Caenorhabditis elegans: one gene and its partner. The protein of the gene in region 1 interacts with the protein of each later gene in a pairwise test. Each region holds a gene or a part of one and is shown in the gene's direction. Other genes may lie near its edges.

Region 1 (4,957 bases):
TTTGCACCCGTACTTCTTGGATCTCAATAAGGAAACTATCGTCTCGTGGTGCCACCGTAACCAGAACTTGAGCGCATTGATGAAGTAGAAGGTGATGACCAGGAATCGGAACTTGAGAAGCCTGTGTCTTGGAAGAATCCTCTGTTGTATCGTGGACGGGCGTAGGCATTGTTATTGTTGAGGAAGCTGGATGCCAGGTATCCTCCAATGGCTCCTAGACTTGCTCCAGTCCAAAACGATCCACCATTGTTGGCGCCACTGCCACTTGCTCCTCCGCTAGAACTTCCCTGACTGAAAAACTTAATTTTAATGAAAATAAGGTCATTTTTATTTAAAATTCCTTACCATCCACCTCCAGATTGCGAGTCACCACGGAACCCATATGGCGGTGGCTTGGAGTAGTCGTCATATGGTGGAGGAGCACTTGGATAACCACCTGGACCACCACCTCCTCCGCCGGATCCTGGGCCTCCAGGACCTCCTGATCCACCAGAAGTGTAGCCAGAGCTTTCTGGGTTCTGATTTCTGTTAGTCCACATCGCGTAGATAATGTAGGCGATGAAGGCGACGACGACGAACGTGGCGAACTGATCCCATCGATCCTGGGATGACTTTCGAGAAACTGATCTGTTACCGCTCGCAGAATTGTACTCGAGCTCATACTCCAACCCGCAAGATCCTCTCAGGATGTATGGATCCTCTGCGTAATCGTATCCTTCACATGAAACACTGATCTGAAACAAGAAACATTTTTTGAAGCGAGATGGAAATATTTAAAAAACTAACGGATCCGAATTCCATATCATGTGGCAAATCTGCATCACATCTCCACTGCACATCCGAACCATCAAAACCTTGATTTGCACACTGAACCACCTTTGGGGTGAAGGCACCTTTCGCGGATCCACCGACACACTTCAACTGGAAGGTTGGAGAAACTCGTCGTCCTGTCGTCATTTTTCCTTTGTGTAGAGTAATTGCTGATACATCGCGAAGAAGAACTTTGTCAGAGGCCGCTGAAATTCATTTGTATTATTGAAACAAATAATCAAAAGAAAAACTTACCAGAAGTTTCGAAGAATACCACTGTGAACACCAGAAGCATCCATAAAAGGAAACTCGTTGTAAATCGAGAGATCATCTGAAAAAAGAAACTAACAATTAGGAATTTTGAACGAGTAATCAATAGAAAGTAGTATGAACATTGAAATAGTACCGGAAGATAAGAACGAAGCACCAGAGATTAATTTTGAAGCGTTGCAGTGAAAGGGAGAAAAGATGATAATGAAGAAAACGAATGATAGGATATGTGACGTGTAACAACACGGAATTTTCAGAAATTTCGAAATACTTGGATCATTTTTTTGCAAATCAAGAAAAAAGATAATACGAGAATAAGCGAGGAAAATCTATTGGATGGACACAATTTTACAGCAACGCCTTTGTTTGACATAATTTTTATTCAGAGTTGCGATTTTTATCAGATTTCGCTATAAACCAAGAAGAAAACACACAAATCTGGAAGGAAAACCTGAAAAGCTGTGTTGCCAGCTGGCGGATAAATCGAGAAGGGTGTTCGCACTTTAAAAACAATATCTTCTGTTAAAAAACAATAAAATAAATTAAGAAAAATAAATTGTTGCAAGCGCGCCCTATCGCATATGTTGAAGAGACTGTAGACGCAGACATATGGCCGTGACCGAAAACATTGTCTTTCGCGTCTCGATATTTCCAAAGTGAAAGGCCATGCGCCTTTAATTGCTGACAAATAAAATTCAAAAAAAGTTTTTTGTTTTGATTTTTGTGAGAGCGCGCTCGCCAAAAATGTTCATTTTAGCTATTCGAAATCCATTTTTGTTTTGATTGCTCCTACTCCTTCATTTTCTTTCTTCTTCACTCATTTCTCGTCTCAATTTTTAATGTATCGAGAATTTCTCAGGATGACTGCTCAAGACTACCTCAACGGAAAGCTGGCGGCTGCCAATGGACCTCTGGCCGATGACTGGAAGAATCTCAAGGAGCTCTGGGAGAAAAAGTAAGAATCAATTGTTTTTGTAGACACAAACTATTTCACTAATTTTCAGGCTCTGGCATCAACTAACGGTTCTGACACGATCCCTTGTGAAGAAGCCACAATTTGTGGCTTCAACGGACATGCACGAATTCTACAGACTGTTCGTGGCGGAGTGGGAGCTGCGTGTCAACCCTCTTCAGCTCGTCGAGATTTGCATTTCGATCGCCCAAAATATCGCGACAAAGGACAAGCAAAAATCTATGGAATTCCTGTCAAAAATTGGAAACGTCATCAACAAGGACAAGATTGCCGTTGCTCGACTTCATACCGGAGAGATTGAAGCCAGACTGGAGAACAAGGACAAAAATGGACAGATTATTGATCTGAAGAGCATTCGAACTCAAATCGATTCGACACAACACGAAGTGGACTCACTTGTCGGAGTTACAGAAGTTCATGCCCCGTTCTACCGCGTCTCATCTTTATATCTTCGTGAAGTTGGAGACTTCGCTGGATATTATCGCGAAGCTCTTCGTTATCTTGGAGTTGAGGACGCCAATAATCTGACAACAGAACAGAAGCAAGTCCATGCGGTTCTTCTCGGTTTCGCTGCTCTTCTGGGAGAAAACGTGCACAACTTCGGAGAATTGGTTTGTTGAAACTCTCAATTTAAATTCCCCCAATAAACGGTTTTTTCAGCTTGCTCACCCCATCCTCAAATCGCTCGAAGGAACTCGTGAACGCTGGATCGTGGACGTGCTTCTTGCCTTCAATTCGGGAGATTTGACGCGCTTCTTCTCGCTCGAAGGAGATTGGGGAGGCTGGGACGATTTGAAGAAGCAAAAGGATTTCCTGACTGCCAAAATCCGTCTGATGGCTGTCATGGAACTTGCAGTCTCTCGTCCAACCAAAGCCAGAAGCGTTTCATTCAAAGAAATCGCCACGAAGTGCCAGATCCCATTCGACGAAGTTGAGTTCTTGGTGATGAAGGCGTTGAGCAAGGATCTCATTCGTGGAGATATCAATCAAGTTGAGCAAGTTGTCTACGTGACATGGGTGCAGCCAAGAGTTTTAGATAATCCTCAGGTATAAGAATTGATTATAAGTTTTTAAAATACTTATTTTCTTTTTTTCAGATAATGCAAATGGCGACTCGCATTTCCGCATGGAGGAACGATGTCAACTCCATGGAAGGAATCGTCAGCAAAGAGGCACGCGAGATTCTCACTCAAAATTAAATCATCTCATTTCTTTAATTTATTTTCTCCATGCTCCCCCATCCCAATCCCGGAATCCTCTATTTTTATAATTACACTGCTACGTGTATTCTACAATTTCAAGATCGTTCAGTCTTCTTTCTGTGTGTATTTATTTGAATTCATAAATTAATCGACTGTGAATATATTGAATTTTCTCGATGTCAGATGTGACTAACACCGTGTCAATAGTTCACTAGTACTTTTCAATACTTAACATTCGGGTTCTCTTCGTCTTCGAGTAATGTAGTACTGTGATTGTTCCAGCCATGGTTGATCTTTCAAAAAACGACGGAGGCAGTGGAAAAGCCGGAAAAGGTGTGAGTGATGCCATCGATACAGTCCTCTACTACGTTGTTGATCTGAAAAAGCAGCAGCCGATGGTCCAGCTGGGTGTTGGTGCTGGATTCGGGACAGTGACTGGATATTTTGTCACCAAGGTATTTAAAATTGGTGGTTCTAGAGAAATATTTAATTTTTAAATATTTTCAGGGAGGACGTCTTGTTGCTGCCACAGTGGGAATCTCTTTCCTGTTGGCTCAATTCGCTATTCACAAAGGATACATCACGCTGAACGAATCAAAAATCGAACGAGACATGAAAAATCTACACAAGTCCGTCATGAACAAGTAAGCTTGAATTTTACGAAAAAAAAATAGAATAAAACGAAAATCGTATATTATTCAATTTTTCAGAGTATCCGGCAAGAAAGTTATCAACATTTCCGATTCATTTGTCTCCGAATACCGGTGGATTCTTGGCGGATTCGCAGCTGGGATGCTGATTGGATTTAGCGTCGCCTAAATGTGGAAAATTGTGAAGCTTCAGTTGGTTTTTATCTACGATCTGTACTATTTATAATCGAGTTGCTCGATATGATGCATAAATAACTTTTTCTCACTCTCCATTGTCTAGTCATGCTGTCTATTTTTTTCTTCACATTGACTGATAAATTATACACCCTTACCTTCTCATCTTTTAATTCTTGCAAAACTTATGGTTTATTCCATAACTTTTCTCTTTTTGAACTCGATTTTGTGCTGAAAATTTTTTGAAACGTAAGTTTGCAACGACACTCCGTAGTTACGCGGCCCGTATGACGCGTAGTTTATTTTTAAGGCCTTTTTTCTCTAGTTTCATCATTTCCGTGCGCCACCTGCCTATTTAACCGTCATTTCCCCAACTATAGTTTAGTTTTCAGATAAAATTACATCATGGGCTCTTCACAATCGACGCCAAAGGTGAGTTTTCTATAATTTCAGTTAAAAGAAAACACGTATGAATTTATTTTCAGGTGCAAGATGCCAACGCCGATGCTGAGAGAATTCGTAAGGCTCAACACAGCATGGCTGCTGCTGGAGGAGGATCTCAATGCCCATTAACACCTGAACAGAGAGCTGCTGCATCTGGAGAGAATTGTGGAGCTGGTGGCGCTTGCCCGGTTGGTGCTGACAAGGCTTCTATCAATCCACTCAACAATGTGAGTTCAAAATAGAGTTTTCTGAAGCCAACTTTGAAAATTCAGGAGCTCGAACATCCAAATCAAAAGCCAGCCCCAGATCAGCCATTCGCACTTCCAACGAAACGAGAGAAGTCTACAATCCCGAAAGCTGGAACAGAAACTGAAACCTGGACCTATCCAAGTCCCCAAATGTTCTGGAACGCCATGCTGAAGTGAGTTTTTGAT
Region 2 (4,751 bases), 7.2 Mb from region 1:
CTATGATATTTGGACATCTTGGTGGCATATATGTGGTTTTTAACAGTTTCCCCACTGCTACTCCACCTTTAAGTCCTGGGAACATTTCCGGCAAATCGGCAAATTGCCGGAACTGAAATTTCTGGCAAATCGGCAACTTACCGGAATTGAAAATTTCCGGCAAATCGGCAAACCCGCAAATTTGCCGATTTGCCGGAATTGAAATTTCCGGCAAATCGGCAAACCTGCAAATTGCCGATTTGCCGGAAAAACGGCACTTTGCCGAAATTTAAATTTCCGGCAAATCGGCAAACCTGCAAATAGCCGATATGCCGGAAAAACGGCACTTTGCCGGAACTGAATTTTCTGGCAAATCGGCAAATTGCCGAAATTGAAATTTCCGGCAAATCGAAAAACCTGCAAATTGCTGATTTGCCGGAAAAACGGCACTTTGCCGAAATTTAAATTTCCGGCAAATTGGCAAACCTGCAAATAGCCGATTTGTCGTAAAAACGGCACTTTGCCGGAACTGAAATTTCCGGCAAATCGGCAAACCTGCAAATTGCCGTTTTGCCGGAAAAACGGCACTTTGCCGAAATGTAAATTTCCGGCAAATCGGCAATCCTGCAAATTGCCGGAAAAACGGCACTTTGCCGAAATTTAAATTTCCGGCAAATCGGCAAACCTGCAAATTGCCGGAAAAACGGGACTTTGCCGGAATTGAAATTTCTGGCAAATCGGCAAACCTGCAAATTGCCGGAAAAAAGGCACTTTGCCGGAATTTAAATTTCCGGCAAATCGGCAAACCTGCGAATTGCCTGAATTGAAATCTCCGGCAAATTGGCAAATTGCCGAGTTGCCGGAATTAAAATTGCCGGTGAATTGCCGCGTGGAAAAAGTAGCTGAAAAATGTTTAAAATGGCAGGACCTGATAATATCGCATGTGAATTTTTTTATTCAGAGATCGTGTGTCAAAAAAAACTAACATCAACCTAACCAACACGAGATCGGCTACTAATCAGTAAGTGATAACTTTTGAAACTTATTTTAATTGAAAAAAAAAACCATTTTCAAGTTTTCATATTCTAATGCTTATAGAAGAGACAAGTATCAAGAATCGAGGAAGCGATCTGCTAATTATGTATCAATTCAAAGCTCACCGGATCTCCCCATCAAGAAAAATCTACTAACGTCAATCGCGCAACAAGAAATAAGAAGCCATCGAAGACATTGGGACAGTACATGGACGGCGAAGAGTTACGAGAGGATTTAAAAGAAAAAGGGAAAACTATGGATAACGATCTGAAAAAAAGTTTGAAGGAAGCACCTAGTGAGAGTTACTGTTACGTTCTAATAAACCCATACGTTCTGGACAAAGACGTGAGGGAAGTAGATCTGGCTACGTTCCTCTCGTCAATATTCTACGTGGGCAAAGGAAAAGGGGAAAGAGCAATGGCCTACTTCAAGGATGCTTGCGGGAACATTCAAGGAAGCCGCAAGCTTACTACAATTGACCAGGCTTGGAACAAAAAAGGATTTGTTTATAAACACATAATTTGTACGTTTAGATAAGAAAAATCTATAAATTGAATTGCTTTTTAGGGAGACCAATTATCGAAAATCTAGCACTCGCCAGGGAAGCTGCTATGATATTTTTTTTCAAAAATTTGGCTGGAAAATCGAACTTTACTAACAAATACGTAAGTTAAATTAATTGGCTAAAAAAGATTCTAATATAGTAAAATTTTCAGAACGGCAGTTTCAAAGGAGAGTCGGCGTTTTGGAGCAGGGAAGAGAAATGCAACTACGGCGTATACCTGCTAGAAACGTAAGTTTGAAAACAAAATATCAATAATTTAACGTCTAAATTTTAGAATACACCGTTCAATCCAAACCAATGGCTGTGAGACTGTCAAAAAAGAAGATGTTGCTCCAAGAGCCGCGATCCAACAAAGTCCTCGACTCTAAACTTTTAATTTAATTGTTATTTTTAAATTCCCTCATTCACATTACCCAACTTCACTATGCTACTGACTATTTAAAATTGCTCAAAATTCAAATATTCCACTTGAATAAACCTTATTATGAGAAATTAATATTTGACCTTTTTTATTTGAAAATAAACTGTTCCCGCCGTTTTCTTTATTTTTTTGCATTGTCGTCATATCGCGCGCAAAGTCCGCAGTGACACCCGCGTGGTGTTTGCGTACCCCGCAATTGTCATCCTCACAATTTTCGAACGCGACTCCCGATTTCTTCGTTTTTTGCTGTAAATTTCGGATATTTCCGGTCAAAAATTTATTAAAATATCTGGATAATGGTAATTATCAATGTCGTATTGTGTTTTTATCGATTTTCTCAGTTGTTTCCACGAAATTTCTGTTAATTTTCACCGAAATCTGTTTCAGAGAGGAATGGAGCGATTCCTGCGACTCGGAGGTCTTGGTGGAAACCTTGGAACGGTAATTGCATTCTGTTTCGATAGAAAATCATCTAAAATTTCGAATATTTCCAGTTCGGAGCCAATCCACAGGACTCGAATCAAGTCGACACCTCGGAAACCGTCTACATTTCTTCGCTGGCGTTGCTGAAGATGCTCAAACACGGAAGAGCCGGAGTTCCCATGGAAGTGATGGGGCTGATGCTTGGAGAATTCGTCGACGACTACACCGTCAATGTGATCGACGTTTTCGCTATGCCACAGTCTGGAACCGTGAGTTTTCGTCAAAAATTGAATTTTTAAAAAAGATAATTTATTATTTTCATTACAGGGAGTCTCAGTCGAAGCGGTCGATCCAGTATTCCAGGCGAAGATGCTCGACATGCTCAAACAGACCGGAAGACCCGAGATGGTCGTCGGATGGTACCATTCCCATCCAGGATTCGGATGTTGGCTCTCCGGCGTCGACATCAACACTCAGCAGTCGTTTGAAGCGCTTTCCGACAGAGCTGTCGCCGTTGTCGTCGACCCGATTCAATCTGTGAAGGGAAAGGTTGTGATCGACGCGTTCCGTACGATCAACCCACAATCGATGGCTTTAAATCAAGAACCACGTCAAACTACCAGTAATTTGGGTCATTTGCAGAAGCCGAGCATTCAGGTTGGGGAAATTATCGGTTTTTAGTGAACATTTCAATAATTTTCGGTTTTTTTTTCAGGCCCTAATCCACGGACTCAATCGTCACTACTACTCCATCCCAATCGCCTACAGAACCCACGACCTTGAACAGAAGATGCTCTTGAATCTTAACAAGCTCTCATGGATGGACGCAGTCAGCGTCGAAAACTACTCAAAATGCGGTGAACAGAACAAGGAGCACCTCAAGGCGATGCTCAAGCTCGCCAAGAACTACAAGAAGGCGTTGGAGGACGAGAAGAACATGACGGATCAGGAGCTCGCGATCAAGAACGTCGGAAAGATGGATCCGAAGCGGCATATTGCTGATGAAGTGAGCAAGATGCTCAACGACAATATTGTGCAAAGTTTGGCCGGTATGATGGCGACGACTTCATTGCAATAATTTTTAAATCAATACTCATTTGCTTATTTTTTTATTATTTTCTCAAAAATTCCCAATTTCCTCGTTCTCTCCCCGTCTTTTTGTGTATTTTTCCCCATAATTTATTTTGAAATCATCCCAGTTCGGTGTTGGAAAACATGAATCTTCCCCGCCTTTAATCGATTTATTGTTTATGCGTTAATTTAGTCCATTTCGCTAACAACTGAGGCAGCAGCATCACATTCAGATTGTTCATATCGACCGATGGTGTGTAGTCGTTGATGAGGAGATATGGAACTTCGAGGATCGGATTCGGTCGGGTGCTCATCGTCTTTTGAGCAGCTTCGCGCTGGAGTTGAACGCCACGTGGACCATCGTAGCATTGTCTGAAATTGTGAAAGATACGGTCTCGACACGACAATCTTTTTTTTTAATTCAAAAAAGTTTCGCCTTTAAAGATTACTGTAGTTTCACTTTTAGGAATTTTCTATAAATTTTTCATTTGATTTTCACCAAAACATAATAAAAAAATATTAAAAATCGATAGAAATTCCAAAAAGTGAAATTACAGTAGTCTTTAAAAGCGCACAGCTTTCCGCGTTTAACACAATTTTGTCGTGTCGAGACCGGGTACCCCGTTTTTTAGCTCAAGATCGGGAAAACTTTGAACATTTTATTCGAAAATTTGCAGAAAACTAGTTTAATTATTATTATCATTATTAGTTTTAGGAAATTATTATTAGAAAACTAGTTTAAAAAACAGTAAACGCGCTCCACGGCCAATCGAAAGCGCTCCGCCTCCGAACCATGGGTCTCGTTAGGAATTCAGCGGCAATACCGAAAAAAATGGAGCGCGTTTACATTTTTTAAATTCATTTTTCAAATGAATTTCCGAGTTTATTTACCAAAATACTGGAAGATAATTAGTTTTTTTCGAAAAAATGCAGAAAAATCGTATTTAAAAGGATAATAAAAGCGTGTGGCAAAATTGCAAAAAGAAAATCGGCAAAGTGCCGGTTTGCCGATTTGCCGGAAATTTTCGATTCCGGAAATTTGCCGGAAATTTTCAATTCCGGTAAGTTGGCGGTTTGCCGATTTGCCGGAAATTTTCAATTCCGGTAAGTTGCCAATTTGCCGGAAAATTAAATTCCGGCAATTTGCCGGTTTGCAGATTTGCCGGAAATTTGCAATTCCGACATTTTGCCGGAAATTGCAATTCCGACAATTTGCCGGAAATTTTCAATGCCGGCAATATGCCCGTTTGCCGAATG

Evidence for each region.
Region 2: the proteins of rpn-9 (region 1) and rpn-11 interact in a two-hybrid assay, tested with the Caenorhabditis elegans proteins (2 studies listed by BioGRID).

What each region holds. Positions count from the first base shown.
Region 1 is NC_003280.10:11,235,902-11,240,858, reverse strand, and holds rpn-9 (26S proteasome non-ATPase regulatory subunit 13), read left to right. Parts: upstream 1-1,939; 5' UTR 1,940-1,940; coding exon 1,941-2,035; intron 2,036-2,084; coding exon 2,085-2,664; intron 2,665-2,713; coding exon 2,714-3,100; intron 3,101-3,150; coding exon 3,151-3,252; 3' UTR 3,253-3,412; downstream 3,413-4,957. Other genes in the region: T06D8.9 (Store-operated calcium entry-associated regulatory factor), read right to left, coding at 36-291, 346-734, 787-1,016, 1,066-1,141; FUN14 domain-containing protein fndc-1, read left to right, coding at 3,540-3,710, 3,763-3,899, 3,966-4,074; cchl-1 (putative holocytochrome-c-type synthase), read left to right, coding at 4,485-4,511, 4,565-4,750, 4,796-4,944.
Region 2 is NC_003280.10:4,041,967-4,046,717, reverse strand, and holds rpn-11 (26S proteasome non-ATPase regulatory subunit 14), read left to right. Parts: upstream 1-2,387; 5' UTR 2,388-2,393; coding exon 2,394-2,441; intron 2,442-2,494; coding exon 2,495-2,692; intron 2,693-2,750; coding exon 2,751-3,080; intron 3,081-3,138; coding exon 3,139-3,501; 3' UTR 3,502-3,656; downstream 3,657-4,751. Other genes in the region: K07D4.2 (GIY-YIG domain-containing protein), read left to right, coding at 1,222-1,537, 1,582-1,679, 1,731-1,807, 1,854-1,947; pqn-48 (Prion-like-(Q/N-rich)-domain-bearing protein), read right to left, coding at 3,665-3,866. UniProt on the Caenorhabditis elegans protein: Metalloprotease component of the 26S proteasome that specifically cleaves 'Lys-63'-linked polyubiquitin chains. The 26S proteasome is involved in the ATP-dependent degradation of ubiquitinated proteins.